4 linked regions of the Arabidopsis thaliana genome follow. The protein of the gene in region 1 interacts with the protein of each later gene in a biochemical or structural test. Each region holds a gene or a part of one and is shown in the gene's direction. Other genes may lie near its edges. The genes, in order: MPK1, NAP, AT2G42300 and MYB39.

What was found.
Region 2: of the proteins of MPK1 (region 1) and NAP, one has a biochemical effect on the other in vitro, tested with the Arabidopsis thaliana proteins (one large-scale study listed by BioGRID).
Region 3: of the proteins of MPK1 (region 1) and AT2G42300, one has a biochemical effect on the other in vitro, tested with the Arabidopsis thaliana proteins (one large-scale study listed by BioGRID).
Region 4: of the proteins of MPK1 (region 1) and MYB39, one has a biochemical effect on the other in vitro, tested with the Arabidopsis thaliana proteins (one large-scale study listed by BioGRID).

The regions. Positions count from the first base shown.
Region 1 is NC_003070.9:3,345,626-3,353,467, forward strand, and holds MPK1 (mitogen-activated protein kinase 1), read left to right. Parts: upstream 1-3,456; 5' UTR 3,457-3,693; exon of another isoform or gene 3,694-3,939; 5' UTR 3,940-3,953; coding exon 3,954-4,376; intron 4,377-4,461; coding exon 4,462-5,151; 3' UTR 5,152-5,555; downstream 5,556-7,842. Other genes in the region: WLIM1 (GATA type zinc finger transcription factor family protein), read right to left, coding at 1,052-1,258, 1,396-1,485, 1,573-1,616, 1,716-1,812, 2,004-2,138; AT1G10220 (ZCF37), read left to right, coding at 6,534-7,190.
Region 2 is NC_003070.9:26,119,407-26,126,437, forward strand, and holds NAP (NAC-like, activated by AP3/PI), read left to right. Parts: upstream 1-2,673; 5' UTR 2,674-2,826; coding exon 2,827-2,992; intron 2,993-3,089; coding exon 3,090-3,370; intron 3,371-3,456; coding exon 3,457-3,816; 3' UTR 3,817-4,108; downstream 4,109-7,031. Other genes in the region: CYP704B1 (cytochrome P450, family 704, subfamily B, polypeptide 1), read left to right, coding at 4,554-4,829, 4,901-5,116, 5,188-5,502, 5,586-5,972, 6,052-6,252, 6,324-6,503. UniProt on the Arabidopsis thaliana protein: Transcription activator that binds to, and transactivates the promoter of the abscisic aldehyde oxidase AAO3.
Region 3 is NC_003071.7:17,617,720-17,627,409, forward strand, and holds AT2G42300 (basic helix-loop-helix (bHLH) DNA-binding superfamily protein), read left to right. Parts: upstream 1-3,175; 5' UTR 3,176-3,822; coding exon 3,823-4,311; intron 4,312-4,394; coding exon 4,395-4,508; intron 4,509-4,589; coding exon 4,590-4,655; coding exon of another isoform or gene 4,656-4,667; exon of another isoform or gene 4,668-5,721; coding exon 5,722-5,790; intron 5,791-5,914; coding exon 5,915-5,986; coding exon of another isoform or gene 5,987-6,001; exon of another isoform or gene 6,002-6,742; coding exon 6,743-6,916; 3' UTR 6,917-7,133; downstream 7,134-9,690. Other genes in the region: AT2G42290 (Leucine-rich repeat protein kinase family protein), read right to left, coding at 451-1,753; AT2G42310 (ESSS subunit of NADH:ubiquinone oxidoreductase (complex I) protein), read left to right, coding at 7,532-7,876.
Region 4 is NC_003075.7:9,880,759-9,888,124, reverse strand, and holds MYB39 (myb domain protein 39), read left to right. Parts: upstream 1-4,692; 5' UTR 4,693-4,756; coding exon 4,757-5,022; intron 5,023-5,357; coding exon 5,358-6,137; coding exon of another isoform or gene 6,138-6,141; exon of another isoform or gene 6,142-6,221; coding exon 6,222-6,258; 3' UTR 6,259-6,526; downstream 6,527-7,366. Other genes in the region: AT4G17780 (F-box and associated interaction domains-containing protein), read left to right, coding at 6,670-7,366.

The DNA.
Region 1 (7,842 bases):
TGATTTTGAAGCATGGAAGATAACCCTTTAATATATAAGGCTGGAGGAGGAACAAAACATTTTTCAATTAATTCAAGACCATTGACCAAAATTTTTGGGGAAAGAGTTTTATGGTAGATTAATCAATTAGCATTGACCAAAAGTAATTAGTGTTTGTTCAACAATTCCTGAGATAAAAATCTGTTAATATTATGAATTAACACATAATACCATTGATTTAAATCATTTTGGTAGATTTACAATAGGGCTAATAAGTATGTCTACTTTCTACTTGTAATTAATTTCATATCATTGTATTATATCTATAGTAGCCATTATTTTCCCGATTTTTCCTTGAAGACAATAACATTAAAACAAAAAATCCATGAATCAATATGTTTTGTTTTTACAAATTCAAGTTCACGAAGTACTTTGCAAAATTTTTGTTAGCCTTCTCCGATTGAGTTTCGGCAAAGGGTTGTTTTCTGTGTTAGTGCGCCTCTTGTGTAGGGGTTTTCGTCGATTGGTCTCCTCCGAGTTGGGACTCATGGGTTTGGTCGTTGGGCCTATTAATGTTATGGGTTGTCTCTCTTGTTTCGGTTTGTTACCCTTATTTGTTTGTTTTATTTTATGTTTTTAATCTATGTTAACATTTGTAAGGAATTAGCCCAATATGTTTACATCTCCATCCTCTATCTTCACGCGACTTCATCATCCTCTCTGCCAAGAGTAACAAATTATCAATAACCTGAATCAACGATGGTAGCAATTGAATCGATCATTTAGCTGAAGCTTAAACTTCACGAAAATTAATTTATATCATATGAACGTAATACATATATATCTCATAAGCAAACATCCATTATTTCTTTGTTTCTCTAGTTTCATTTCAAGAAACCCAATAAAAGAGTGAACAAAGGTCCCAAAAAAAAAAAAACATATTAAAGACCAAAAAGAAAAACACAAACGTAGGAAGAAACAAAACCAATATATGTTATCGATCGATGGAGAAGTAGTGACTCTTTTGATTCTTCGATAGTCAAAATCATCCCAGAGAGATTGAATTGTTTCTTTAAGCAGCGACGACTTTGTCCTTGGCGGCATTCTCTCCTCCTCCTTCGAGCTGGCTCAAGTTTCCTTTCTCCTTGATCAGCTGAATATGATGATGCTTGCAATATAGCTTACCCTCGTGAGCTATGTAATTCGAAGGGCTTATCGTGCAGCCTCCATGTGTACACTTGAAGCAGCTCTTGTGGTACAATGTTCCATTCACCGATACCTACACAAAGTCCACATTATAAGCAATGTTTCAGCTCTGGTTTAAGCCAAGAACAGATCAGATTCGTTATGGAAACAATCTAACAATCTTCTTTGACACAACTTGATTCTGATCAGGAAAGATTTGAGATTGGATACCTTCTCAATTGGATACACGGTTTTGTCGCAACCAACGCATTTCTCTCGTGTTCCACCAAACATATTCGAAACTTTGGTTCCAGCAGGTCTCTGTTAAACTTCTCTCATGTTAAATGTTAAAAAAATTCAAGAACCTCAAAAACAGAAAAAGGGTTTTGTTCTGCTGTCCGAAAGTACCTCTCCCTCCAAAGGCCTATCAGGTTTCCCAATCTTTGGTGTCCCTGTACATATATATGAATCAAACTTTAGATAGATAATTCCAAATTTGAAATCCCCACTCACAAAGCTTTTCACATTTTGATCTGTTTTTGGTAATTTACCTTCGAAGCTTTTCTCAAGACTTCCAGTTCTCTTGAAGTTTTGATCGAAATGTGGTCTGCAGTAGAGAACTCCTTCAAAGGAGTTGTAATTGCTAAGCTGACTCATCAAGAAGAAGAAGAAGAAGAAGAAGAAACAGAACAGTCAAATCTTTAGACCAATCAGTTTCCATAGCCAAAAATTCAAAGATTTCTACTTAATTGATTGGACTTCTTCATCTACATATATATCTACTAGATCTACTTCTGGATTAATGAGAAATCATCACAAACTAGAATCAAAGATCAAACCTTGAGAGTTCCTTTGCAATGGTGACATCGGAAACAAGCTTTGTGGTAGACCCGGTTATCGGCGGTTAACTTGTCGACAAGATAAACTGTTTTGTCACATGCCATGCATTTCTGGGTTGTTCCTGCGAACGCCATTCTTGTAAGAGATCAGACTAAAAGACTCAGGAAAAAAGAAAGAAGCTCAATAGTCTTGAGAGAGAGAGAGAGATAAAGAAGAATAAGATGAAGATGAAAGAAAGAGATTGTCAATTATTGTTGCTTGTTTTAATATGGGGACCAGATATATTGAAAAATGAACATGCTTCTTCTTTTTAAATATTTAAAGTAAAATTCTTTTAGGAAAAATTGAAATTTTTAATAAAATGTCACAAACAAAAAAGTTCAAGATGAGTATCGAATTTTGGATGCAAATTCGAATATTTGGTGTTTCTGACAACCCTAGCATTGTTTTTCGTGGTTGTCTAATCCACAAAACAAGATAAGCGATGAATAAATAAATAATTTGAACGTTAGCAACAAAACTAAAAACTGTACTACAAAAAGAAAAGGTTTCAACGGCATTTTTTGTGTTCTTAATTATTTTTGTCCAAACTTGAAGTAACCCGTCAATATCTGTCTCCTAGATATTTTGCTTATATTTTTTTTACATTAATTCAGTTCTTTTATATCTAGAGTCAGGTAATTATTTAGAGAATGCATGCAGTTGCTTGACAGTGCGTAAGATTTACACAAATTTTTCTCAACAGTGAAGGCAATGCTCAATAGTCAATAACTGTTTGTAAGGAAATAGAACAGGGAAAACCAACTGGAAAGAATCTTTGTCTGGTTTTAGATAATGATTAAAAGCTGTATTGGTTATGTTGAATTAGTTGGAAATCTCTAAATATCTATACACTATTTATTTTCTTTAATACTATATGTTGTGTAGTGTGTATATGAATAATGAAAATATCTGAAACATGCTTTACCATAAAGGCTTTTGATGAGCTGTAGTATTGACATAATTGGTTGAAGAGAATGAGTGATCATAATGATACCTAACATCTTTTATTTAATCAAAAATACCTAACGTTATTTTTATTTGCTACTATAATAGACTCCAACCAATTTATTAGTATCATTTTATACAGTTTCTAACATTTTTGCCACTGCTTAGATTTATGGGCTTTCCCTTTCTGTCTGCATGGGCCTCCTCTCTTATATTAATAATCTGACTTAATGAAAACTTTTAAATCTTTTGTAGTTTATTTTCCTCTAGATGCTAATTTTAGCAAAATGAAAAGATGTGTGATGGAAACGTAAAGTTAAAGCAAAAGAAGATGGTGAATTGGTGATGCAATATTTTAGTCATGTGTCATTGTTTACATTTATGATATATTTTACTTTAAAATACTTTTCTTCATTTTCAATTTTTATAAATCTTCGTAGAACACATATTCACAAATGATGCTACTTTGGTGATCAGTTACTAAAAAATACCGAAATTGATTTTAGAAGATAGAGACGTGAATCTGTTTGCCAATATTAATTGGGCTCAACTTAAGCCCAAATTATATAAGGAAAGACTACCTAGTAACGAACAAGTAGCAGGTCAACTGTCCGAGCGTTGGCCAAATCTCTCTCACTTCCACAGGTTTCTCTCTCCGGCCAAATCTAACCTCCGGGGAACGTCGTTGGTCACTTATCACCGGTTAGAATTTCCTTCCCGCTTTATCCCGTAAACTTTTTTCCCATTGATTCCGATCGTTTATGTTCCTTCACCAAATCGATAAAGTTTGATCTTTTTCCTTTTCACTATTATTAACAGACCAATCTGTTTACACAAGAAATCTACAGTAACTTATCACTTGAAAAGTTTTGATAAATAGTTAGTATAATAATTTGTTAATTGTGTGTGTAAATTTGATTTCTTGATTGTGTGTGAATTGTGATGAAGAGGGAAAACAAAAAATGGCGACTTTGGTTGATCCTCCTAATGGGATAAGGAATGAAGGGAAGCATTACTTCTCAATGTGGCAAACTCTGTTCGAGATCGACACTAAGTACATGCCTATCAAGCCTATTGGTCGTGGAGCTTACGGTGTTGTCTGCTCCTCTGTTAACAGTGACACCAACGAGAAAGTTGCTATCAAGAAGATTCACAATGTTTATGAGAATAGGATCGATGCGTTGAGGACTCTTCGGGAGCTCAAGCTTCTACGCCATCTTCGACATGAGAATGTCATTGCTTTGAAAGATGTCATGATGCCAATTCATAAGATGAGCTTCAAGGATGTTTATCTTGTTTATGAGCTCATGGACACTGATCTCCACCAGATTATCAAGTCTTCTCAAGTTCTTAGTAACGATCATTGCCAATACTTCTTGTTCCAGGTGTGTGGTTGATCCCGTTCATTTACTGTTGGTTCTAGCTTTGCTTTCTCCTGAAATTTTGCTTTGCTTTGTTCTTTTTGTGTAGTTGCTTCGAGGGCTCAAGTATATTCATTCAGCCAATATCCTGCACCGAGATTTGAAACCTGGTAACCTTCTTGTCAACGCAAACTGCGATTTAAAGATATGCGATTTTGGACTAGCGCGTGCGAGCAACACCAAGGGTCAGTTCATGACTGAATATGTTGTGACTCGTTGGTACCGAGCCCCAGAGCTTCTCCTCTGTTGTGACAACTATGGAACATCCATTGATGTTTGGTCTGTTGGTTGCATTTTCGCCGAGCTTCTTGGTAGGAAACCGATATTCCAAGGAACGGAATGTCTTAACCAGCTGAAGCTCATTGTCAACATTCTCGGAAGCCAAAGAGAAGAAGATCTTGAGTTCATAGATAACCCGAAAGCTAAAAGATACATTAGATCACTTCCGTACTCACCTGGGATGTCTTTATCCAGACTTTACCCGGGCGCTCATGTTTTGGCCATCGACCTTCTGCAGAAAATGCTTGTTTTTGATCCGTCAAAGAGGATTAGTGTCTCTGAAGCACTCCAGCATCCATACATGGCGCCTCTATATGACCCGAATGCAAACCCTCCTGCTCAAGTTCCTATCGATCTCGATGTAGATGAGGATTTGAGAGAGGAGATGATAAGAGAAATGATGTGGAATGAGATGCTTCACTACCATCCACAAGCTTCAACCTTAAACACTGAGCTCTGAGCTCAAGTCTTGTTTGTACGGGTAATTTACAGAAAACTTCTTCTTCTTATGTCTGATTGTCATCATAGACTCATAGTGTATATAGTCTTGAAAAATAAGATGAAGACTAACTTATAGTTTAAGCGAATAGTGATGCCATGGAAGCTCTGTTTTATTTAATTACAAGCTTGATGTGTGTCTGTAACATATGTACATAGAGAGAGCTGTTTTTTTTTTTTAATTACAAGTTTGATGTGTGTCTGTAACATATGTACATAGAAAGAGCTGTGTTTTTTTTTTAATTACAAGCTTGATGTGTGTCTGTAACATATGTTCATAGAGAGAGCTGTGTTTCTGTTTCTCTGTTTGTTTGTTGCGTTCTTGCAGAACTTTTAACCCTCTCATGCAATCCAAGCCTTTTGATGAATCAAGTTTTCATATAGTTGTTCTCATATAGCTTAAATCTAAGAATATCAACAATTAAGCATTTTGTTATATGAATATTTGATGATCACACCATGATCATAGGCCTTCGGATTCATAGAAGGGGTAGGCCTTTGCACCGAACCTAACTTTCCAAATCGTAACAAAAACAATGTATTGTTTTTCTTTCAATTTCTTAATGAAGTTCTATAAGATAATTTTGGTGAGTAGTATCAGTACCCTCCTCATTCATTTATCACATGATATGCTTCATTTTTTTGTCAACACATGATATGTTGCTTCTATTGGTTAAAAAGCCTTAAAGGCTAAAAGCTTTTTCTTCTACACCAACTTTCCTTCTCATAATTCATTTTTCTTTTCATAGTATATAAATAACTTGGAGGATTTTCCAATTTTTGTAAACCCATCAGAAATTTAAATTAACAATGAATATTCCAACTATATGTTTATGGTTGAATCACTTTTGTCTTTCTTTCTCCCCAAGTCAAAACTAAGTTAAATTAACAATTAGTCAATTACTTATGATAAACCAAAAAAATATGATTACACCATCATGGAAATTTTTTTGCAGCTTCTTCCGCAAGAAAGTCAATTTGTAAGATCAGCAAAATACATCTGGGATGACGTTTCATTTGGTAGAAACTTATCTTCTATTCGTCCTAAAAGAGAACAAAAAAAGTGTCAACAATACGTGATCTGATCAATTCATCACATTTAATGAGATCTGGTCAAATCACCAATCCATTTGTGTATCTGAAATATTTACAATTAGTTTAAGACAAGTCTCATTATGATAACAATAAAGCCGTCTCTCTTGTCCAAATACTAAATCCTGCCTAACAACTCCTCCGTAACCAAATTCCTTCAAGCTCTCAAATTCTCACAACCTCTCCACACAAAGGACCAGTAACAGAAAAAAAAAAAAGAGGATATTGTTGATTGGACTGAATTGATTTGATATGTTGAGTCCGTTTTCGTCACCTAGGAGATCGAGAAGAGGAAACAAAGAAAGCAAGAATCCTTATTCAAATCAAGGACTTGACAAGTTCTCTGCACTTCTATCTGAGCTCGATGAGAAAAGACAGAGCATTTACGCAAAGAGGCTTGATCCTGATGGACCGCCTCTTGTTCGGTTTGTCTTCACTAGCTCCGGCGAGTGCGTCCCTGTAATGATCAAGACAAAGAGGGCAAGTCAGAAGAAGGATGTTCTAGATGATTTCAAGGTCAAGAAGAAGGACGTTCTAGATGATTTCAAGGTCAAGAATAAGGATGTTCTAGATGATTTCAATGTAAAGACCGAATCAAAAACAGAGCAGGAAAAAGAAATAAAGCAAACAGATTTGGAAACAGAGCAGAAACAGAGCTGTGTATTGAATGAGAATCTGAAGAAGATTTCAAGACCAAACCATTTATTACCCGTGACAGTGGTGCTGGTTCTAATATTATTGGTGTTTTTCGGACGGACCGTCTCGATCATGTGCACTTGTATCGTTTGGTACTTGGTTCCAATGATCAAGGAACAGAGCAGAAACAGAGGATCAACATACGAGACGAAGAGGAGGAAGAAACTAAATATTGAAAACAGAGCTGCTCCTGATAAAAGTGAAACCCGGTGACGAAAATCAAAACTTTTTCTTTTTTTGTGAATTTCTTTTATTCGTTTCATCTAACATTTTCCTTGGTTTCTTTTGTTCTGTCTTCTCTGTTTTGTCCATAGTTGTTAATTTTGAGACAGAAAGATACGTAAATTCTTCTTCTTTGTTTCTCCTTTCTCTAATGCTAGTGAAATGTAAACTATTCAAACTGATTATTTTTGTTGGTCGTGGTAAAGTGTTTCTTGATTCATTTGTGTACAACTTTCGTCTAATTGATGATCTGTAAATGAAATTTTTTTAGTTTGGAGTTTTGATTTCTTGTTGTTTGGACAACCTGTACTATTTCTTTGTTTATTATACATGCTCACGTTTGGTTTTCTTTTAAGGAAATAGCACGATAAGGCTGGAGGATATATTATATGATTTAGATTGAAATTGAAATTAAAAATAGTATTCAAGATTTTGGAAATCGATGATTCACCAACTCAGGTCAATCATTCGGTTTAGTGTGGAGTTTGGAACTAGTGTGGCTAGGCCGGTTTGAGATAAACTTACCAAAGCCAATTGGGATGGTTTTGGTATAGTCAGAATAGATAATGATATTAAATTTTGGTCCGCGGATTTGATTTTGTTTCGGTACCGTCGTTCTTTTGGTATTCTCGCTCTTCGCCAT
Region 2 (7,031 bases), about 23 Mb from region 1:
GATTGTTAATTATAAAACTCCGGTAAAACAAGCGGCGGCGAAGCGGTAGAGCGATCGATGGCGCTGTCTAAGGGAGGAGAAATCGCAGCGACGTAACTGAAGCATCGGGATTCTAATATACGCCGGAAATCAGCAGCGGCGCGTTTTAGCGTCGTCAGTCTCAACGCCATTGGTTCAAATTCTCCGGTGGCTTTGCGGAGGGTGATACTTGCACTGTTGCACAGTTACGCTTAACAAGACGGTGTCGTTTCATCGTAACCGGCAATAACTAAAATAAAAATAAAAACCTGACACGGACCGGCTGGTCAGACCGGTTGAACCGCGAACTCTGGTCCAGCTTTTATATATGTACAGTTCAACGTCCGGTCCGGTTTATAAAATCATGATCATAAACGTATTGTGGAAGGATCGTAAATAATCTAAAGTTTGTGCCTCCATGAGAACATACCTTAGAATCTAATCTGCCTCAGCTTCATTGTTACGTTTTGATTAACCAAAATTTAGCAATTAGATTCCATCTTTTATCGTTTATACTCTTTATCTATCTTTTTTCTAACCTCAAAAAAATCCTTATTTTAGTGACAGTGCTGCTATCAGTTAGCAAATCAGACTGTTAACTTTTAGCCTATATGTGTGATGTATCTAAGACTAGGAGTTACTTTTTTATTTCAAGTTGGTAGAAACGAATTTAGTAAAGCATGTGTTTGGAATTGGAGTCGATCAAATATAAACAAATCGTTTCTCCCTAAACAAAGATGCTAGATTGCTAGAGATTAAGATGACGATTTGATTAATCATCGTCACTCATATTTAATTGGTTTCCTTAACTAAATTTATCTAAACAAAGATGCTAGAGCTTTTGTTTGCGTCATCTCATCCTAATCCTCATATCTTTTAATCCTATCCTTTTTGTCCCATGCCCTATATAGTAAGTATATAAAATTGGCTTGGTGATGTATATGAACATATGATGAATCATGTGCCATTTGAAATATAGTATAATACATGTACACTTGTGTAAAATAGCTTTTGGGGTCTTTTAATTTGTTAGAATAGCATTTTTAGATTGTCCATTAACAAGGTAGTTTCTTGAAAAATTTTAAAAGATATTCATGCGCCACTTAATTATAACGGTTTAATGAACAATTATTTGTGGCAATAGCGAAACAAAATCATGAAATTAACAAGAATAAACAGCTAATCATGAACTTGTTTTTTCTCCTCTTTCCCACTTTGTGCTGGAACGTTCCTTCGCATCTTGTAGTAATCTCACAAAACCCATTTTCAAGAAACTTGTGTCCAGTCTGAATTGAGCGTGTGGAGTTTTTTGGACAAATGTAGTAAACAAAGATTTAATCACCCAATTAGGGAATAATAATGACACCATTAGATAAGAACATGCGTAATTAGTGACATCTAATTATTGTTTAATCAGAAATCCGCCGTGGCGCGTGGGTGTATGCCCTCCACAATCCTTATCCCTAATGACTTTTTATGTGAAAATGACACGTCATTCAGAAGCAAAAAAATTGGACCCCCCAAGCCTTGTAGCATGCCACGTTTCTTCCAAAATTAAGACCAAGAATGGTCTTCACACTAGTTTTTATGTTATACAAGTTCTTTAGTACTTCTCCTTTGGATTCTTTTTAATTACTAGTTTGTTTTATGAAAAACGTATGTTATTGATTATTGAGATATCAGTATTATTATATATGCAGTATAAAGTTATTGATGTGTATATTTTGTCATGCAAACTATATCGTGGAGAAAATAATGTTGCTTATGACTTTTGATAGTTGGGCTTACATTTGGATAATGGATAGGGTAGACAAAGATAGGAGGAAAGCAATAATAGCGAAATGAAGAACGAATATTTGGGGAAATAGGACAAATGAATATACTTCTCTTTGAAATGGAGATTCACCTAAATTATTAATACTAAAGCCATGCAATGCATCCAAACAAATCAGTGGTCAAGCACACTCAATTATATGTCCACGAAGACCTTTAGAATCTTCACAACCAAAAGCTATTTTCTACGCTACCTGATAATTCTGACTCAATTCTTCTTCATAAAACGTATAATGAAGCTTTATGAATGATTAATTATAGACACAACCGGCCCTATCTGCGATTTCTACAAACAATAGAACACAAAACTTTAAAAGTTACTACAAAATACCGAATTGACTATATATATCATATTATCAGTATAAACATGATTAGATTGATCATGTTTATCAGTAATCATGAAAGACAAAGAGTGTGACTATTGTAAACCAAATTTTAGAATAAAATAAATAATTTATCATACTATATACAGTATTTTGTTAAGTATATGTCATCCAATAGTAACATTATCATTTAAACTGAAAAATGTTTCAGCTACTTTAAGGAATTATAGCTTTATTAAAAGTATATACTTTTAGGTCACGTGTTTAGAGGTGAAGAACAATAATAATTACTCAATAAGTTCACCAGTCACACTCCAACATCTTATTCAAATTCCTTTTAAAAGCTTTTTAACCGTGGCTGTTTGATGACCATTTGACAAAATTTAGTATATTAGAAAAAAACAATAGGATAGGGATAATATAGGACATTAGACTATTAGATGGACAAAATGAAGTATTATTTAATTTTCCAATGTACCAACCAATAAGAAAGAAGTGACGCACAGTAAACGACAAAAAGCTCAAGCATAAAAACCCAAACCTTCTCTGCTTTCTAAACATTTCAAGAACCTTGAGAACATCAAAAACTAACACAGAAAGAAAAAAAACAGTTCCTGTTCTATTAGATTGTTTTCTAAATTGTCTGAAAATCATGGAAGTAACTTCCCAATCTACCCTCCCTCCAGGGTTCAGATTTCATCCTACCGACGAAGAACTCATCGTTTACTATCTTCGAAACCAGACCATGTCTAAACCATGCCCTGTCTCCATCATCCCAGAAGTTGATATCTACAAATTCGACCCATGGCAATTACCCGGTTAGACCCGGTTTATCTCTCAATGATAACCTATTCTTCTAGATGTTCATGTTTAGAGCTACTTTCCTTATTTGCTTTGTTCGTTTTGTATTTACAGAGAAAACAGAGTTTGGAGAAAATGAGTGGTATTTCTTCAGCCCTAGAGAAAGAAAATATCCAAACGGAGTCAGACCAAACCGGGCAGCTGTTTCCGGTTATTGGAAAGCAACCGGTACAGACAAAGCCATTCACAGCGGTTCAAGTAACGTAGGTGTCAAGAAAGCTCTAGTCTTCTACAAAGGTAGACCTCCTAAAGGAATCAAAACTGACTGGATCATGCATGAGTATCGTCTCCATGATTCACGTAAAGCATCAACGAAACGTAACGGTTCCATGAGGGTACGTAAGCAGAGGAAACAAGTTTATAGCTCTTGTATATTTTATTACAACTTGTGAAAATGTTAATTTTCTTTATATTTTTGCAGTTAGATGAATGGGTACTGTGTAGGATATACAAGAAGAGAGGAGCAAGTAAGCTTCTGAATGAGCAAGAGGGTTTCATGGACGAAGTACTAATGGAGGATGAGACAAAAGTTGTAGTTAACGAAGCAGAGAGAAGAACTGAAGAAGAGATAATGATGATGACGTCGATGAAACTTCCAAGGACGTGTTCGCTGGCTCATTTGTTGGAAATGGATTACATGGGACCCGTCTCTCACATTGATAATTTTAGTCAGTTCGATCATCTTCATCAACCTGATTCGGAGTCTAGTTGGTTCGGGGACCTTCAGTTTAACCAAGACGAGATCTTAAACCATCATCGTCAAGCGATGTTTAAGTTTTAGTGATGGGGTCAGTAAAAAAGAAGAAGAAACAAGAAAAGATGTGCTTGAAAAGTTACTTTGGTAGATATTTGGTTAGTTTGGGTACATGAATGAAAATTGTAAAATATTATAACTAAAACCCAATGGGATTTTATATTTCTCCCATATGAATGTGAAATGAAAAACAATGTTTAATTAAAAATTAAGTTGTTTCAGCATGATAAGACGAAGTCACGAAGTTGATTTACATTACGAACTAATAAAACAAAAGACTTTTGTAACTTACGATGTTTTTAAAATGATAAAAAGAGAGATTGAGATTACGTTAACTTGGAATGAACAAGTCGATGACGTGTGGAGGAATCAACGCCAGATACAATGCATTTTGGGTACTTATCTTTGTCGTTTTATTAGATAACGAATGTTACTTGTCGTCATCATCGTACATTAAACCACATTTTGATTCAGTCTGCGCAGACTCAAACATTAGTGGATGTAACTTATCATAAATATGTGGACCCTTTTTGCTAATTTCAATTTTGACCGGTTTTGGTGTACCAAACACGGTTTAACAAAACCACGAAACCAAACTTGTTTAAGAAAGAATACACACCAAAGAAATGTTGCAAAGAAGGCATAATAAAAAAGAGTGTTAGTTGATTAGTAGATTGGTCACAAACTTTGTCTGATTGCTAAACAATATAAAAACTCTTATGAATTTATTTAGAACTTATTTTTCAGATTCAAAGAGGTAAAAAATGTCGTTGTGTTTGGTTATAGCTTGTATGGTAACATCATGGATCTTCTTACACCGATGGGGACAAAGAAACAAGAGTGGTCCAAAGACTTGGCCTTTGGTTGGAGCAGCGATCGAACAGTTAACTAATTTTGATCGAATGCATGATTGGCTCGTTGAGTATCTTTATAACTCAAGAACAGTAGTGGTTCCAATGCCATTCACTACTTATACATACATAGCTGATCCCATCAACGTTGAATATGTCCTGAAAACAAACTTCTCCAATTACCCCAAGGTGAAAAAAGCTCTTTATATCAATATCATGTATATGTTTTGTTGTGACTTTGATTTTTTGTTGTATATCAGGGAGAGACTTATCATTCTTATATGGAAGTATTGTTGGGAGATGGGATTTTCAATTCTGATGGAGAGCTTTGGAGGAAACAGAGAAAAACCGCGAGTTTCGAATTTGCTTCCAAGAATCTTAGAGATTTTAGTACTGTAGTGTTTAAAGAGTATAGTCTTAAACTCTTCACTATCCTTTCCCAAGCATCTTTCAAAGAGCAACAAGTAGATATGCAGGTAAGAATCTATTAATCACTAAAGTCTACAAACTTAGTTTCTCTTACATAACATCCTTTTTTTGGCTCTAGGAATTGTTGATGAGAATGACTTTGGATTCAATATGTAAAGTGGGATTTGGTGTGGAGATAGGGACATTGGCTCCAGAGTTACCAGAGAATCACTTTGCTAAGGCTTTTGATACCGCAAATATAATCGTAACACTTCGTTTCATAGATCCTCTTTGGAAGATGAAAAAGTTCCTTAACATAGGCTCTGAGGCATTGCTTGGTAAAAGCATAAAAGTAGTCAATGATTTCACCTATTCAGTCATAAGAAGAAGGAAAGCAGAGTTATTAGAGGCACAAATATCTCCTACCAACAACAACAACAACAACAACAACAAGGTGATAAACTTGTTATACAACTCAAAAATGTAAATATATGCACTTGTCACATTAGTAACATTTTTATTCTCATATGTAACTAGGTGAAGCACGATATACTCTCGAGGTTTATCGAGATCAGTGACGATCCAGATAGCAAAGAAACAGAGAAAAGCCTAAGAGATATTGTCCTCAACTTTGTAATAGCTGGAAGAGATACAACAGCAACAACTCTCACTTGGGCTATATACATGATAATGATGAATGAAAATGTTGCTGAGAAACTATACTCAGAGCTACAAGAACTCGAAAAAGAAAGCGCGGAAGCGACTAATACATCGTTGCATCAATACGATACAGAGGATTTCAATTCCTTCAACGAGAAGGTAACAGAATTCGCAGGACTATTGAACTACGATTCCTTAGGAAAACTTCACTACTTACATGCTGTGATCACAGAAACACTTCGTCTCTACCCTGCCGTTCCTCAGGTAAGTAAAAATCCATTAAATTTGTGAATTGAGATATCGAAACGAAGAAAAGAAAAAATCGTATATTCGATATTCGTAGGATCCGAAAGGAGTATTAGAAGATGATATGTTACCAAATGGGACAAAAGTAAAAGCTGGAGGGATGGTCACATATGTACCTTACTCAATGGGTCGTATGGAATACAATTGGGGATCAGATGCAGCATTGTTTAAACCCGAAAGATGGCTTAAAGATGGAGTCTTTCAAAATGCATCACCATTCAAGTTCACAGCTTTTCAGGTAACTATAATCAAACACATACAAGATTTTTGTTTTTGAACATGAAAGATGATGAGTTTGTGTGAGTGTAGGCTGGACCAAGGATATGTTTGGGAAAGGATTCAGCTTATCTGCAAATGAAGATGGCAATGGCAATACTTTGCAGATTCTATAAGTTTCATTTGGTGCCAAATCATCCTGTCAAGTATCGGATGATGACGATCTTATCCATGGCTCATGGCTTGAAGGTTACTGTATCCAGACGTTCATAGACACACACACAAAAAAAAAAAAAAACTATACAAAGTCAAATCCATTTGAAATGATCCAAGAAGAGATATAATTAAAATCTTTATAACTATCTTGTTCTAAAACTTCTCCATAAGATAAATTTTATAGATCAAACAACAATTGTGAGGCAAATTTTTTCCCTTTTTACTCCCGTAAATTTAATTTCTTATATTTCATTTTTTACCGCTCTATGTCACCAATCAGATCAAATTAATCGATTGGAATAATGTGAATACAAGTATATAAATTATAAAACCAGAAGGTCCAGAATTCACCACATTGTTTAAAGTCAACATGAACACTAATAGAAACATGACTAAGGAAGGACTATATATGGAATCTTTTTGTATAGGAATATTTGGCCCAATTAAGGCCCAAACCTCCTCTCTTTTTTTGAAAAGAAGAGAATATTTGCTGCGTTAAGTTGAGGCATCGTCATCGTGAAATGTGCAGCTCCGGAAATAAATAATCACTAAAATAACCAGATCCGATCTACTGCCCCGGTTTCT
Region 3 (9,690 bases), on another chromosome or scaffold:
CGAGTACTAACTTCCCAAGGCAGATCAAGCAGAGGTTAACTATGAAAAACACACATCTATCGGATCATAAACTAATCTCTGTCTAAGAACCAAAAAGAAATATTCTTTCTGTCACATTAAACACTCTCTAGACTACCATTAACTCATTCTCGACTTAAGTTTTCCCATGAAAATAACAGGACCACATACTATAATGCTACACAGAAGCAAATCTGTATGCTTGTCATCGAGTTCTACTGTTTCAAGTTTCAACACATGTAAACACAGTAAAGCTTTGAACAATAAAACAATGAGAAGAAGCGAACATGTTAGTCAATACAACACAATCAGACAAAGACAAAAAAAAAGCTCTCCACTTTATAGTCAGAGCAAGTACACATAAAAACCTTATAACTAGTGGTAGATTTATGCAGAATTAGCACCAAAATAGGAAAAAGATTAGTGTTTTACCATGTAAGGCAGAGTACAAGCTGCCATTGTTAATGAAATCAGTGATGAGAAGCTTCTCGTCCTCTGCATAGTAGTAAGCTCTTAGCCGTACAATGTTAGGATGATTGATCCTACCAATGCTCTCAACTTCATTCACAAAATCCTTAAATCGCCACGTGTCATTGCCGTCGCTGAGCCTTCTAACGGCGACAACGGTGGAGGACGATTCCGCCGCCACTACTCTATACACAATCCCGCTTCTGCTCTTGCCTATCACGTAAGCCGATGCTCTCAGCAAATCCTCAAGCTCAAGCTCGAATCCTTCATCAAACGCTACGAATTTACCTTCTTGCCCTTCTTCGTCGAACTCTGAAACCACCGTCGTCGTCTTTGTCTCCGAATTGTACCCATCGGAGCTTCGTTTTCTCCGGATCAGCCATACAGAGAGAGAAACAGCTCCGATTACAACCGAAACTCCAGAAATCAGAGAAACGGTTACTGAACCGGTGATCTGCTGCTTCTTCTCCTTTGCGTCGTCATTGCTGATTACACTAGGGTTTGGTTTCTGGAGTTCTTGAGTACCTTCCGGCTTTGCAGCGACGAAATTTGGGGTTTTGATTTTTTCACACGGCGTTTGCAATGGGAAGCCACAGAGATGAGAGTTTCCAGCGAATGCGTTTGGTCCTTGATTCAACAGAGATCCCACCTGAGGTACTTTTCCGGTGAGATTGTTGTGACTAAAATCTAAGCTGACGTGAACTCGAAATCGACCGTACGACGGTGGAATCTCGCCGGTGAATTGGTTGAAAGAGAAATTCAAGGTTCCGACGAGGCTTCCGAGTTCAGTGAGTGACTCAGGGAGTGAACCGTTGAGATGATTGGAGGAGAAATCAAGGTGGTTGAGTGACTTCATGGACTTGATTTGGGCCGGTATTGGGCCGGAGAGTGAGTTGTGAGAGAGATCGATGTACCGGAGCTTGGTTGCTTCGAAGAGACGAACCGGTATGGTTTTAGAGAAATTGTTGTGAGCTAGATCAAGCCGGTTTAGCGAGTTGAGTAAACCGAGTTCTGATGGAATGTAACCGGAGAGACTTTTTCCGAAGAGTACAAGAGTTGTGACTCGGCCGTTTGTGCAGACGATTCCGGACCAATGGCAAGGAGTCGGGTCGGATTCAGACCAGTGGGTCATTACTCGGGTCGGGTCGTTATCGACGGCGGATTTGAGAGCTAGGAGAGATAAACCGTCGGAATTGAGAGAGGAGCAAAAGCTCATGCAGAGAAAGATGGAAGAAACAACAAGTGAAAGAATCGATGGTAACTTCATTTTTTGCTTAGGATATAGGAATCTTGAAACTTTTTGGTTGTTAAAGAAGCTACAAATTACAGATGATTCATATAGTGTGAGGCAACGAGAAGTTGCAGAGGAAAAACGGTAAACAGTGAAGACGAAGGAGAAGAATAATGGGAGATTTGACCGAGGTATGATTCTTTTATGGTTTCATGTTAGCAACGTGGTGTAATGTAGTCATGATCAATTTTTTGAATTCTTGTCCATATACTATGGTTTGAAATTTTAATAATATATACACTACAGTTCTAATTAAAAATGTGATATATTGGGATTTGCGTTTTGGGTTTTTGACATTTTGTGGTTATTTTTGAAACTTTTTGAAGTTTAGTTATTGATTGATGCAGGTGGGTTGTTGTTACATTTTTAATTTGTGTGTATCCGTTGGTGATATCTAGGGTCACTGGATTTTTATAGCATTAAAACTATATATAGGTATCAAAAAAAAAAGTTACAACAAATTTGGGATACAAAAAATAAACAAAGTGTTATCTTAAATGCTATAGTCTATAGAATCTTAACTCGTATAGGACCTCTTCACTCTTGAGCCATGAAAAAACTGTACAGTCCCACTGGGTCGATAATTGTTTTACTTTTACAAGATTCAGCAGTAACTAAAAAAAGGATTAAAATATGTTTAAGAATAATTGAAAATAATCGAACTCGACCTATTGCATATGAATTTGAATTGGATAGAGGATGTCATATTTATTCAAATTAAAGGAGGGAAGAGACGGTAGAGAGTGGATTGTGTCAGAGAAAAATCATTAACCAACCGACAAAGTAACCACACAAAGATGCATTTGAAAATATGCCACTTTTGGCTCCTCTACTCCTAGTCTTAATGGGCAATTCCGAAATATACACGAAGAGTCACAAGTCCCATTGTTGTTGGGTTAGCACTTTGTCACGGCCCAAATTCAACTTATTCACAACATCAAATAAATATATGCATCATATCATCACATCCGACTTTTGTTAACAATTACTTTTTTCAGTTAAAGAACTTTCAAGAGGAAATAGTAGTACCTTAAAATCCTACAAAACCTTGTCGTGCAAGAACTGGGAGGGCTACAAATTGCGGTCAATGTACGCAAACATCTTACCGTTTTTGGTACAAACACTAGAACTCCAATGCAGTGAGTGAGATGGGCCAATTTTGGCAATCTCAATCAACGGTCCATGTGGCCCAATAAATCACTAAAAACGGCCGAATTTTTAGATCCATGTAACTTAAATAATTGGTGGGGACGGAAAGTCTTGTCGTTTTCATTTATTCGAGTGTGGCACTCTGATTCATCTCAAGCTTATTTTTTATAAAAAGAGTAATTTTAGAGGCTGAACAATAACGACCTTGAACAAAATAAAATAAAATAAGAGGGTGAACAACGACCAGTCAAAATTTGAAAATTTACTCACCAGAGTCTATAAAAATTAAAAAGGAAAGGAAAAAAAAAGAATGAATCATAGTGAAATGACCTTATTTATGGCTCCAACTATAGTGATTAGTAACCACTAAACCAGAAAAAAACAAGTGACCCATTACACAGGGATTAAAAATACTACCGAATAAAGCCCAATAGGCCCAATTCAAAAGCGTCTCTCTATCATCGTCTCTCCAAACCCCATAAATTGGATATTTCCTTTCTCTAAAAATTTGGCTTTATTAACAGACGCACTCCAAAGCTAACGTTGCTTTCTTCCCACTCCAAATGGCTCTTGTGCTCTCAGAACACACACAGATATAATAAACTCTTAACGAAGAAGAAGACTTTTTCTTTTCTTGAGCAAGCTCTGAGAAACTCACAGAGAGGGACAGAGAGAGAAATATTTCATTCGCTACTCTCTTTAATACCGCCATTGATGCAACCTCCTTCGCGTTAACTGTCAAAATACTCCCCAACTGACAAAAATTAAATTCCTTTTTTTCTCTCTCGATTTTAAAAGCTCTAAAAGGAACGAGTTGATCAAGTCGGTCGGTTCTGGTTATCACTGAATTTCATTCAACTCGGTTTATTCCGGTTTAAGTGTGATTTTCCCGGCTAATGGATCTGACCCAAGGTTTCAGAGCTAGATCCGGCGTTGTTGGGCCGGTGGCCGGACTAGAATCTCTCAATTTCAGCGACGAATTTCGGCACTTAGTGACGACGATGCCTCCGGAGACTACTGGCGGCTCCTTCACGGCTTTACTCGAGATGCCTGTGACTCAGGCCATGGAGCTTCTCCATTTCCCAGATTCATCGTCTTCTCAGGCCAGAACCGTTACCAGTGGTGATATTTCTCCTACCACTCTTCACCCTTTCGGGGCTTTGACTTTTCCTTCTAACTCGCTTCTCTTGGACCGCGCCGCTCGTTTCTCGGTGATTGCTACAGAGCAAAACGGTAATTTTTCCGGCGAGACTGCTAACTCTTTACCTTCTAATCCCGGCGCGAATCTGGACAGAGTCAAAGCCGAGCCTGCTGAGACCGATTCAATGGTGGAGAATCAGAACCAGAGCTACTCTTCTGGAAAAAGGAAAGAACGCGAGAAGAAGGTGATACCAATTGTTCACACAATCAAACTTGTTAATTAAACAAGAGAGATTAGTCCCTAATTTCTTTATTCCTTAATTTCTAGGTCAAAAGCTCGACGAAGAAGAACAAGAGCTCCGTGGAGTCAGACAAGTTGCCATATGTTCATGTCAGAGCTCGTCGTGGTCAAGCTACTGATAACCATAGCTTAGCAGAGAGAGTAATTCACAATCTCACAGACATGGTTTGTATTAATTAATTAGTGGCAATATGCTAATTAATCATTAACTCTTGATTATAGGCAAGAAGGGAGAAGATAAACGCACGAATGAAGCTGCTACAGGAACTGGTCCCAGGCTGTGATAAGGTTTGTCTTTAGATAATTGACCTTTTAATCAAAAAGCTAATCAATAATTAGATCTTCATTTGTGCTTAAAGACAGAATCTTTCTTTATTAAGACCAACCCCCAAAAAGTGATTTTTTTTCTATAATTTGATCATGTGGTTTGATAAGGGTTTAGTGCTAAATTCCTCTTATATGAAAAAGGTTTTGTGGTGTGACAAAGAACAAAACCACTAGTTTGGTAATTTCACTGCCTTGAAGATATGTAAACTTTATTTTCGTGTGGGGAAGAATATCTCACGGGTCACAACCATTTAGGTAAACTAGTAGTAGTAATACGGAAGTGATGTGACATTGCTCAATAGATTCTTGTTTCTTCTTCCCAAAGTGTATTCATTTGAGCTTGAAGCTTACTCCATAAATGCCGATAATGGATTATATGATGTGGGAATGCTAGCTGGACTGTTCCCTTAAGGTTTTGGGTAGAGGGGACAGATTTTGGTGGATAGATCAAGGTCAGACTGTGTTTTGGGGTCCATCTTTTGATAATAAGTGGCAAAAGTTGCAGGCTTTCTATGGAGGGTGAGGAGTGTAGTATCGTCTCTAATAAGTTTGGTATCTATCAAGTAGAAAGAGGGTGAGGAGTGTAGTATCGTCACTAATATTGTTATATGCTTTGAGTCCCACAATACCTAATTGGTTGGATACATGATGTGACACTCCTGCAGACAGCTAACTAATCCATAGATATCTTGGAATTTAGCTGCAATTATTGGTGGAAGGAGATGATGATAAGTGACAACTCTTTAAGAGTTTGTCAAATTTGTGGGGTTTTGGGACTTGATTGTTTGTTTCATGAAATCCTGAGAAATCCTGAATCCATGTTTGTAAACTACAGATGTTGCTCTGATTCGCTTTTCTGGCATATTATCTTGAAAAGAGTAGAGTTGTTGATTTTATAGAAGCCGTTATACATATGCAACTTAGGATTAAGGCTCATTTTCACACTGCTTCGTTAACCACATATATTTCTAAAAACTATGCCTTGTTCTTCTTTCTTTCTGACTGACCAGAAAGCTTTGGCCTGCAGATTCAGGGCACTGCATTGGTTCTGGATGAAATCATTAACCATGTGCAAACTTTACAGCGTCAAGTGGAGGTAGGACTTCTTGCACTATCTTTTGTTGTTGTTTACCTGAAGGTCCTGAACTGAAACACTAAGCTACACAATGTATGATAAAATTGGTGCCACAGTGTCACATAACCGTTTTTCTTCTTTTCAGATGCTATCTATGAGACTTGCTGCAGTAAACCCCAGAATCGACTTCAATCTAGACAGCATACTGGCTTCAGAGGTAAGTATCAACTAATCATATAGGAGAATTAAGGTTGCATGTGATCTTCTTTTACAATAAAAACTCTTAAATTCAATGTTCACTGGGAAAAACTTCCCTTTGACCATGTTACTCGTTTAAGTAACCATAGGGATTATGTTTCTTTGAGTAACCTTTTTAAGTTGTATCACAAAAAGAGAAACTTTTGGATATTTATTGATCCAACATTAATCGACCCTATTCTAGACTAGGCTTAAAGAAGAAGAACAACGTGGGGGAAATAAATACTTAGACCTTACAAAAATGCAGTACAAACAGTGAGATCAAGGACTCTAAAAAATCTTTTGAAAGGACTCATTAGTTCTCTCAATTATATCATACAGAGAGATAAAAGTGGTCAGAAACACGGACCACCTTTGTTCTATGGTCTATGATGCTGTCTTTTTTTTTTATCCTTGCACAATTATTTTTCTGTGGGTCTCAGTCTTAAGTTATTGTTGCTTCAAGTTTCACCTATCTAATCTAATAATCAACTTTTGTTTCTCTGCAAATAACTTTCTTATTAAATGACCTTCTTCTTTTACAGCTTGTACACCATTTAAGAACCAGACCCCACTCATTAAAAACCTTGTTCTTCTAGGATGAGTTACAGTAAAATAGAGCTGGCTTGTTGACTAGATTGAGAATCTAGGATGTTGGATCAATCATCTCTAAGAGAAGCTGATATGTTTTACAAATTGTGTTAATAATGATGAGGTCCAATTATCTTTTCTGCAGAACGGCTCTCTTATGGATGGTAGCTTCAATGCAGAGTCTTATCATCAGCTGCAACAATGGCCTTTCGACGGCTACCACCAGCCGGAATGGGGAAGAGAAGAAGATCATCATCAAGCCAATTTCTCAATGGGTTCAGCTACTTTACACCCAAATCAGGTGAAAATGGAGCTCTAAGTTGGAAACAGTTTGACATGCTTATGTGTATATATAAGAGTTATATATATCTACTAAAGTTTCGATTGTTGAATTAGAGGTAGAAAATGGTTATGATTGTTTCAGGTCTTTGTTCATGGCCTTTCTATATTTACTAGATTCCTCAATGTAGAATTCAGAATGTCTAAATTGCGTTTCCCTTGAGAGAAGTATATGAAGATTTGATATGTTACTGAGCAATTACGACGTCGTACACGAATACTATCATCCAATACTGCTTAACCGACTAGTGTGACCAATTCAATTTGGTCTACCTAAATTATAACCAAACTGCCAGAACCGATTTGGACTACAAAATTTCCAGTCAAACCGTAAAACAAAATGAGAACTGAGAATACCAAGTCATACCGAACATAAAAGAGAGTCAATTTCGTATATAAATCTGTTAGACCGGATAATCTAAGCTGAAACCATTATATAATTCCCAATTAAACTGACAATTTCAATAAACCAAAATTGAAATTCTCGGTTCGGTTCGAATGAAACCTTTTGTAGGTCGTGGTCGTATATAGTTGGACACTTGACAAATCTGAGCATTTCCTTTTTGCTTACAGCGGAAATATCTGAACCAACGCGATGCCGTCGACGCAGTCCTTGACCGTCGCAGCGAAGACGCTACGAAATCGGATCTTCTCTAGGTCTGGATCTACATCCGCCGGTCCGAGTCGGTGGGCGACGCCAGGTCACGAGGAGCGACCTAAGGGTTACTTTATGAACCGTACTCCTCCGGCACCAGGACAGTCGCGAAAATGGGAAGATTGGGAGCTTCCTTGTTACATCACCAGCTTCCTTACAATTGTTATCCTCGGCGTTGGACTCAATGCCAAACCTGATCTTTCAATCGAGACTTGGGCTCATCAGAAAGCTTTAGAGCGTCTTGAGATGGAGAAGCTCGCGACCGCTGGAGATTCATCTGATTAAGCATCACCGTTGGATCTCCGGTTGCTTGATTTGGTATGTCCTTATTCTCCGGGAGTTGAGGAGTTTTTTTACCGTTTAATGATGATGATAACGAAGACTGGAGAGTTAGGGTTTCGTTTGGCCCTTGAACTTTGTTTCAATTCTCCTTTGTTTTGTCGATAATGATGATGTTCATGAAATAAGTGTTCTTTTAACTGTTTAGACGCAATTGCCTTCACTCTCTACTTCTTATTACAATTCTCAAATTTGGTCACTTTTGATTTACTCATTTCTCAAATGATTCAATTTCGACTATTGATTGCTGCATTACTAATTGGAGAAAGAGATTAAACGAGAGTTGTATGCTGATGTTGTGTGCTTCTCTTCCTTAGTTCATGGCTTGTTTATGTTCTCTGTGAATCTCAGGTTTGCTTGTTTCACTCAGTGCAGTGCATATTGATTAGATTAATAGCTACTTTATGTTAGTCGATTCTTATCTCTTTAGATCATCTTTTTTATACTTGTCATTTGTTGTAGTAGTAGTGATAAGCTGATAGTGTAGCTCTAACTAGGGCATGGATTGTTCCTTTGTGTTGTAGACATGTTCGTGATTATAGGTTATTGCAGCGTGCACAATAAGTTTTGTAGGCTTTCAAGTGGTTGGAATGGCATCAGCCATTGTTAGATGCAACACTCTAGATTTCAGTTTTGTCATTTGCTGTATTTTATTAGGCTAGCGTTTGGAGTTTTCATGGTGTCAGCTATTGGTAGATTTGACACACTAGATTTCAGTTTCTTTGACGGTGGTGTTTATTAGGTTTCTACTTAGCTGAGAATAGCAGATGAGAATGTTGATTTCGATCTTATACTTGGACAAGTCTGGAGTTGAAAGTAACTTCACTAGATTTGGGTAGATAATGTTTTAGAAATCATGACTGCTTACCTCTATCTCTATAGATTTTGGTCGATTAATACTATACTGCCTTTGAGTACTACTATTGCTCATAGTTTCCCAAATCCTTTGTTTAGTTTCCTAAAGTGTGGCTTCATATTCTTCTCTTTTAAGTACAAGTACTTTATGCTGGTGTTGGCTTTTTAGCAAGCTTGTGATCTTCATCTCATCCTCTGGTTTCATACATGATGATTAAACAAAAGAAGAGACTAGCGATTAAACAATAGAAGAGACTAGAGTAGTAGCTTAATTTGTTGTTTGCCTTAGTTGAGCAATCTCGTGTCATCAAATTGCATCACATAGAGAGGGATCTTGTGGTAATTACTTCTCTCTGTGTAGTTGTGTTTCCCGAGAGTACAATTCTGTAACACTGTCTGGAACCATTAGGCTAGGTCTAAGAAGAGACATTATCACGACACTCTTCACATGCTTTTTTTTTTTATCTCTGGAGACCCAAGAAGAGTCTAGTGTAAAGCCATGTGAAGACCATTTGTCATCTATCCATTTCCTCTGTACATCAATCAGATGTTTTCAGTTTAAGAAGGAAAAAAAAAAAAACTCGGTAGTCGTATGTAAATGTAAGTCGGTGTCGGTCGGTGGAGTTGAAGCCAAATAATCAATAATGTTTAGGACGAAAGTGAAAAGGTCAATAACGGTCAATTAAAAGTAAAGTTTATTTTTCTGGTAATGTGACCGGTTATTCCCGGTAAACACACGAGCCACCGACACATACTTCCATGGGTCACGACCACGATTGCAGTCCGTACACGATCCATGTTTTTATTTATTTAAACGCACCATAACTTCCCGCATTCGGATCTCCCATAGCAAAGACAGAGAGAGAAGTAAAGTAGCTTTATTATGGATTACAGATAAAAGACAG
Region 4 (7,366 bases), on another chromosome or scaffold:
TGTCACCGTTTGATATTGCAGTTCATAGAAATGGTTCCAATAGTGCATATTCACAGCTTTATCTTTTCATTGGGTCGTGGGCTCTTTCGACTTTCCCTTTTGCTTTCTATAATTAAAGAGGCTTTTTCTCTGACCAACAAAAGTTCTGGTTCAATTTTCGACAAAACCAGCATCGCTTTGTTGTTTTTCATCCTCCAAACACCAAAGAGATGATTGAACCGGACCGAATCAAAAATCGAAATATAGTGTTTCTTGCAACCAGTTCAGTTTCATTTATGTACAAACTGACTGAACCAAGCTAGTTTTAGACGAACCAAAATTTCTTTGAAATGAGTTTTTTTAGGAATATTTAAACATTAAGTATTTTTAAAATTTTGGTTGGAATTTATTACAAACGAAGTATATACATATCTGACCGTTTGGAATAACATATTTAAACATTTTCTATCATCAACTATGTATAGTACTACCGTCCGAACCATATTTATAGTATTACAACTCCACACAGTCTACCCAAAAAAAATCAAAAGGCCTTTGATAAATAAAATAGAATAAAATTCTTACGTATCACCTAATCTAGTTTTAACTCTCAATTATCTGTATTGAATTAGTTCTTCAGTCAAAGTCAGTTTATGAAAAAACTCTCTTTGAATACATTAAAGCGAAACCATAAGGGTTTCGTTTAATAAAAGGTTGTGTTGTGTTTGTGAGACAAAAGGACTATAAAGAAAAATATCATGCAGTTTGATCTAACTACGTTCCAAACATATTCAACATTTGATTGACCTAAATTAAAAACTTAAAAGGTTTTCTTGTGGAAACTTGAGTTTCTCATAAAAGTACCAACATGACATGTGGTAACATTGATTTTCAGATGTGGGAACGATTTTTTCTTTTTCCTCAAAGATGTGGAAACGATTAGAGAAAAAGTCTACAGAAGATTTTGAGCGGCGATAAAAGAGATGGACGATAGATAAAGAGTATTAAGACTGGGACACTTTGATGGAGAAACAATTAGCTCTTTCGTTAAGAAAAAGCGCTCCTAGCGGCTATGCAAAAAGTTTGGATAAGAGGTTATACCACGGTTGTGTTTAAAGGCGATATTAATTAACATATTCAAGGGTCCTATAACTTCATCCCACATTTCCAATCTCTTACATGATATCTATCATTGACGTTCAAAGTTTACATTGACACTTTTCAATTCACAAAACGCTCATGTACGTAATAATATAGTTCATCATCTTGCTAAGCATGGTTGTAACCACTCTGTTTTTTTTTTTAATTGTGATTCCGTAACACCGCCTGGATGGCTAAATCAACTCTTATGTGATGATTTGATCGATTAATATATTACTTTTTGAGGGAAAAGAAATCTAAATTTGGTTTAAATAAACTAATTGAAGTGAATATCTAACTACGATAGCTTCTTTGTTTTAACATATAGATCCATTGTGTATAAACAAATTTTCATACTATTTTTCTCTTAAGCTCAAACAGATTGTTTTATTTCGCAAATCACAACAGAGCATTTATTAAATGGAAATCATTAATGAGCTTTAGTAGACGGCTTAATCCACAAATTATACTTGAAGATTTTTTAAATAAATCGGATGATATGTGTAGGAGTTTTGACTATTTCTTAGCCAAAAATATTTTTGACTTTAGTGTTCTAGAAATAATGACTTTAGTGTTCTAGAAATAAAATATATATGGATTCATTATGTAACGACAACTTATGATATGACAATTAATGTTTGTTTTGCTGGAAATAACCAAACATATGCGTCTCCAAGAGACACGATCACGGATGTTTCGCATTAGTATAGGACAACTCTTTAGAAACTTTTGCAAATGGATATTTTATATGCAATTATGTTTATTTGTTTCAAAACTCTTGTGTTTGTATTCTATATTGCGTATAGACAAACCTTTGGTCGTTGTTCATATAATTTTACACGTTAACTGTTTTTTCCAAGATTTTCCATCTACCGAATTATATACTTCCTTGTCAAGAAAGGGAGATAGGAGCAGGAGAAAATTTATCCCAAACTCATCTCTCTTTACTTTATTGACCATAACATCATAAATACTGTTACATATATTTTTTTTTTTCTTTTTTTTTTTTGGCATTTGACACCTACTAATTTGATTTCTTTTGGTATTAAGTGAAATCAAAAGTCTCTTTCCAACTCAAAATTTAGCTCAATAGCAAAGAAGCAATCTTTGTCTTATAACCTATTGAACGATCCCAATTCATAATTTGAATTTGATATACTGTGAAAGATAAATTTGGTCTATTAGAAATCGACCCATAAAGATATAAGATTTGGATTTAGGGTCACGGAAAGATCTACAGCAAATCCGCATTCTGAGTCAAGCTAGAGAATATTGTTATCACCAAACGAGAGAAGAGTTCACGATTTTCATCGTTATCCACACAAAAACACTGGTGATGGGACGAGTTAAGCGTTACTTCTAATATAGTACGAAGACATCATTATGCCAACTAACTCAGTATGCATGTTCTGATTATGTGTTTTAGAGATCACATCCGATCCATGCAGTTGTTATTTTTTTTTGCTAAAGCACATCCATCCAACGTACGTACGCTAACAGTTGTTCTCTAATTGAAACCAGTTTCCAGCTTTTATGACTTTAACATACGTTGGATGGTCGTTGGAACTTGGAAGATACTCTTGGTGCCTCAAGCGACCTTCACTGTTTTCTATATGGTGCAAGTTTATAATTCAAAGATCGATCGGTTTCCAAAGATGTTCAAGAGTAGGAACAAAAATCCAAACAAGAAAAAAGATAACCGATCTAGACTGAAAGTTTATACAATGTTATGAACTCATTTGAATTCGGAAGTCAATTTTAGCTACAGAGACCGAAAGAGTGAAGCAGCCATTGAATTACAAATTGACGACTATGTATCTGTTGCGTAAGCCGCGTAACAATAACATTACATAGAATTTTAAGGCTTGTCTTATCTATACTCGTTGACAATGTCAAATAAATATAGCATAGGAATTTTATACTATATGGTGCTACTAATTACATGGAACCCTTAATATATACGACTGTTTAAATAGTCAACGTGATAAATAGAGAGTTGGTAAGTGTTTGGTTTTAATTTGACAATGTGAAACAAGCCTGAACATTGACCCTTTAAACCATAACAGTAATTTAACGGTAAAAAAATAGTAATTAAGTATGTAAACAAGATCTTCCGTGAGAGTGAAATTAAACCTCATTATTTAAATTATACTAGTAAACATTTTCTCCAACCGTAGGAAATTTCGTTTTATGTTTTTTTTCTAATTTGTCGTGATCCTTCTCATTCCTTTGAAGACAACAAGATTCTATTATGAAAGATTTTTTCAAAGATCCAATAGTATAATACAACGTAATATATAATACCAACTTTATAGTTACACCTTCTAATAAAATCCACTTACTCGTTTATGTGTTCCTCACGCTATCGACTTAATGTTTGGAACCCGCGAGAGAAGTTCTTTAATTAAATTAGTCAATCGAAAAAAGCTATCCATTTCCTTTATCAAAGTAAATCAATTCGAAAATCTCGTATTAACTTGATCATCCAAATCCATATGTATATTTTCGAATAATATAAAACAGAAATTGAGATAACCTATACTAAAGAGAGTTTCACGTAAAAAATTTATATTTTCACGTAACAAAAAATTACAAAACAATTAAACAAAAAACAAATGATAATAGCATAGGTAATTTTTTGTGACTTGAAATTCAGAACGTATGGTAGGCACAAACGACGGTTTGGTAACAATAAGGAGAATAATAATAATCTTCGTTTGAATTCAAATAGAGGAAGAAGAAGCGAAAGGGTAGGCTTTGATCAACCATGAGACATTGAAGCAGGTAGAGATAATTCTTTGAATGCGGTGGAAGCAATCACATAATGATAAATGCAAGATTCCAATTTTGATGAACTTTGCAATGAGAACATAATATTGCTTTTCAATTAAATATTAGTTAAATATACCCTTCAAGAAAAGTAGTTAACAAGTTTAATTTATAATCATGCATTTATGCGAAATTCTTATTTGTAGGTTTTAATCTAAATAGAGAAATATACACATATATAGGAAATATTCAAAAATGATCACATGCATGTTTAATTTTTGAAAAATGTGGCTTTCTTTTATAACATAATTTCAATAAGATTAGTTTGAATTGCAGATTATGAAATAGTATATAATTTGTGATTGTTTTACAAGTAAAAGAGCGTAAGAAATTTGGTCCCAAAAAAAAAAGATTTTAGTAGGGAAATATCAACATTTTATTCTAACATAGCTAGGGCAAATATTTTATACATCTAACCCACAATAACAAAATCCATTAATGCATTAACAATTATTCGTATTCTTTTATATAAAAATTATTTGTTTGAACATCATCCCCACGAATTACTCTTCGAAGTTCGAACGCCATGACACATATCATATTATCAGTACCTAATCTTGATTTTGTTATAACTATTTTGGTTATTTAACTGATTTATTGAATGACTCATATATTGTAGACTTATGACACACTATGAAAAATAATATTTACACCAAATTCTGACGAATGCATACACAACTTTACTTTAGTTATGTCATGACTGCTTTTCACATCTATATATACATACAAACCTAATCGTAGGGAGCGACGAAACGAAGATCATATCTTCAAAAACCTCTGATAAGTTTTGGTTCTTGATATAAACAAAATGGGAAGATCACCGTGTTGCGATCAAGACAAAGGCGTGAAGAAAGGACCGTGGCTGCCAGAAGAAGATGATAAGCTCACTGCTTATATAAACGAGAATGGTTATGGGAATTGGCGGTCGCTTCCTAAGCTCGCTGGACTTAACCGCTGTGGCAAGAGCTGTCGGCTCCGGTGGATGAATTATCTCCGGCCTGATATCCGGAGAGGCAAATTTTCCGATGGAGAAGAGAGTACTATCGTTAGACTCCATGCCCTCCTTGGCAACAAGTAAGACTATTTTTTTTTCGTTAAAGCTTTTATGCTATTTTGTTAGCACTAAATGATTTAGGTCTCGCTTGTTTCAGACGTAATTATGTGTTCCTGTTTACATGTTTTTTTCATAATTTTAAAATATAAACCATTTTCAGTTCTTTTAAAATTAATATAAAGTGCAAAAACAAATTTACGTATGGATACCATTGCATAGTTTATTATTGCTATTATAGAATTCACATCCTCAAGACTATAGTCTAAACTTTAGTTTATAATTCTCTAACCATACAAAAGGTTAAGTTTTCGTTGGTTCATTTTACTAACGTTTGAGTCGAATTTTTACCATACAGATGGTCGAAAATTGCGGGTCATCTTCCAGGAAGAACAGATAATGAAATTAAAAACTATTGGAACACTCATATGAGGAAGAAGTTATTGCAAATGGGGATTGATCCAGTGACGCACGAGCCAAGAACCAACGATCTTAGCCCTATCCTCGATGTTTCTCAAATGCTCGCGGCAGCAATCAACAATGGCCAATTTGGTAACAATAACCTCCTCAACAATAACACCGCTTTGGAAGATATTCTTAAACTCCAATTGATCCATAAAATGCTTCAAATCATAACCCCCAAAGCCATACCAAACATCAGTAGCTTCAAGACCAATTTACTGAATCCTAAACCAGAACCGGTAGTCAATAGCTTCAATACCAATTCAGTGAATCCTAAACCGGATCCCCCGGCTGGTCTTTTCATAAACCAAAGTGGAATCACTCCTGAGGCCGCCTCGGATTTCATTCCATCTTATGAAAATGTTTGGGATGGTTTTGAAGATAACCAGCTTCCTGGTTTGGTTACGGTTTCTCAAGAGAGTTTAAATACAGCAAAACCGGGTACCAGTACGACCACCAAGGTAAATGATCATATCAGAACCGGTATGATGCCGTGTTACTATGGTGATCAACTACTAGAAACCCCATCTACTGGTTCGGTATCGGTCTCTCCCGAGACAACCAGTTTGAACCATCCCAGTACAGCTCAACACTCATCCGGTTCAGATTTCCTAGAGGACTGGGAGAAGTTTCTTGATGATGAAACAAGTGATTCTTGCTGGAAAAGTTTCTTAGAGTAAGATCTATCTCCGCATTGATTAACATAGTATATGATTTATATTTATGGTTTATTAACAGAATTGTTTTATCTAATCTGCAGCTTAACGTCACCCACATCGTCACCTGTCCCATGGTAGAACTGGATTTTGTTCGGGTCGTATACTCATAGTTTTAAAGACAATACATACACAAAGATATTCGATTAATACTCTTAATTTTGTTTGTTATTAAATATTGATTTAAAGTTTGTATATTTTCTTGTAAAGGAATTCTTATTTGTAATTTGTTCTTATTTGGTTTGGTTGTTGTGTAAAGAAACACATTGTAATCACCATTCTATTATTGCCCATTTAATAACAATATTTTGGATAAATATCTACGAGCAGTCTAATTTATACAATCAAACAACTCTATGGAAACATAACTTGATTCACAAGTTTAATAAAAATTCACCTATTTGCCAATAAGGAAATATATTAAAATGTCAATCTCTCGATGTTTCTAACAGAAAGATTGACAAAAAATCAAAAAACAAACAGTCACCAAGAATGGAGGAAGAAGAGAAAAACCCTAGTTCGATCTACATAGTTGCCGATCTTCTAGAAGATATATTCCTTCGACTTCCCTTGAAATCCATTCTCATATCGAAAAGCGTCTCAAAACGATGGAGATCAATTCTTGAGTCGAAGACGTTCGTGGAGAGACGAATGAGTCTTCAAAAGAAGCGCAAAATCCTGGCTGCTTACAACTGCAAATGCGGCTGGGAGCCTAGGCTCCTCCCCGGGTCGTCGCAGTGCAAAGGGAACGAAGAGATCGTCTATCTGCACTGCAACGCCGCACAACCCTCGTTTACTTGCGACGGTTTGGTCTGCATTCTCGAACCACGTTGGATAGACGTTTTGAACCCCTGGACAAGGCAACTCCGGCGATACGGATTCGGATTTGGAACCATATTTGGAGTAGGTTCGGCTTTCTCTCCAAGACATTGGGCAATGGGATTTGGTAAAGATAAAGTTACCGGAAGCTATAAAGTAGTGAAGATGTGTTTAATATCTTTCAGTGAAATTTGTGCACGTGATCCTGAGGTGGAGTATAGTGTTCTTGATGTCGAAACTGGTGAATGGCGGATGTTGAGTCCACCTCCTTATAAGGTCTTTGAGGTAAGAAAATCGGAGTGTGCGAATGGATCGATCTACTGGTTACACAAACCTACTGAGAGGGCTTGGACAATACTAGCCTTGGATC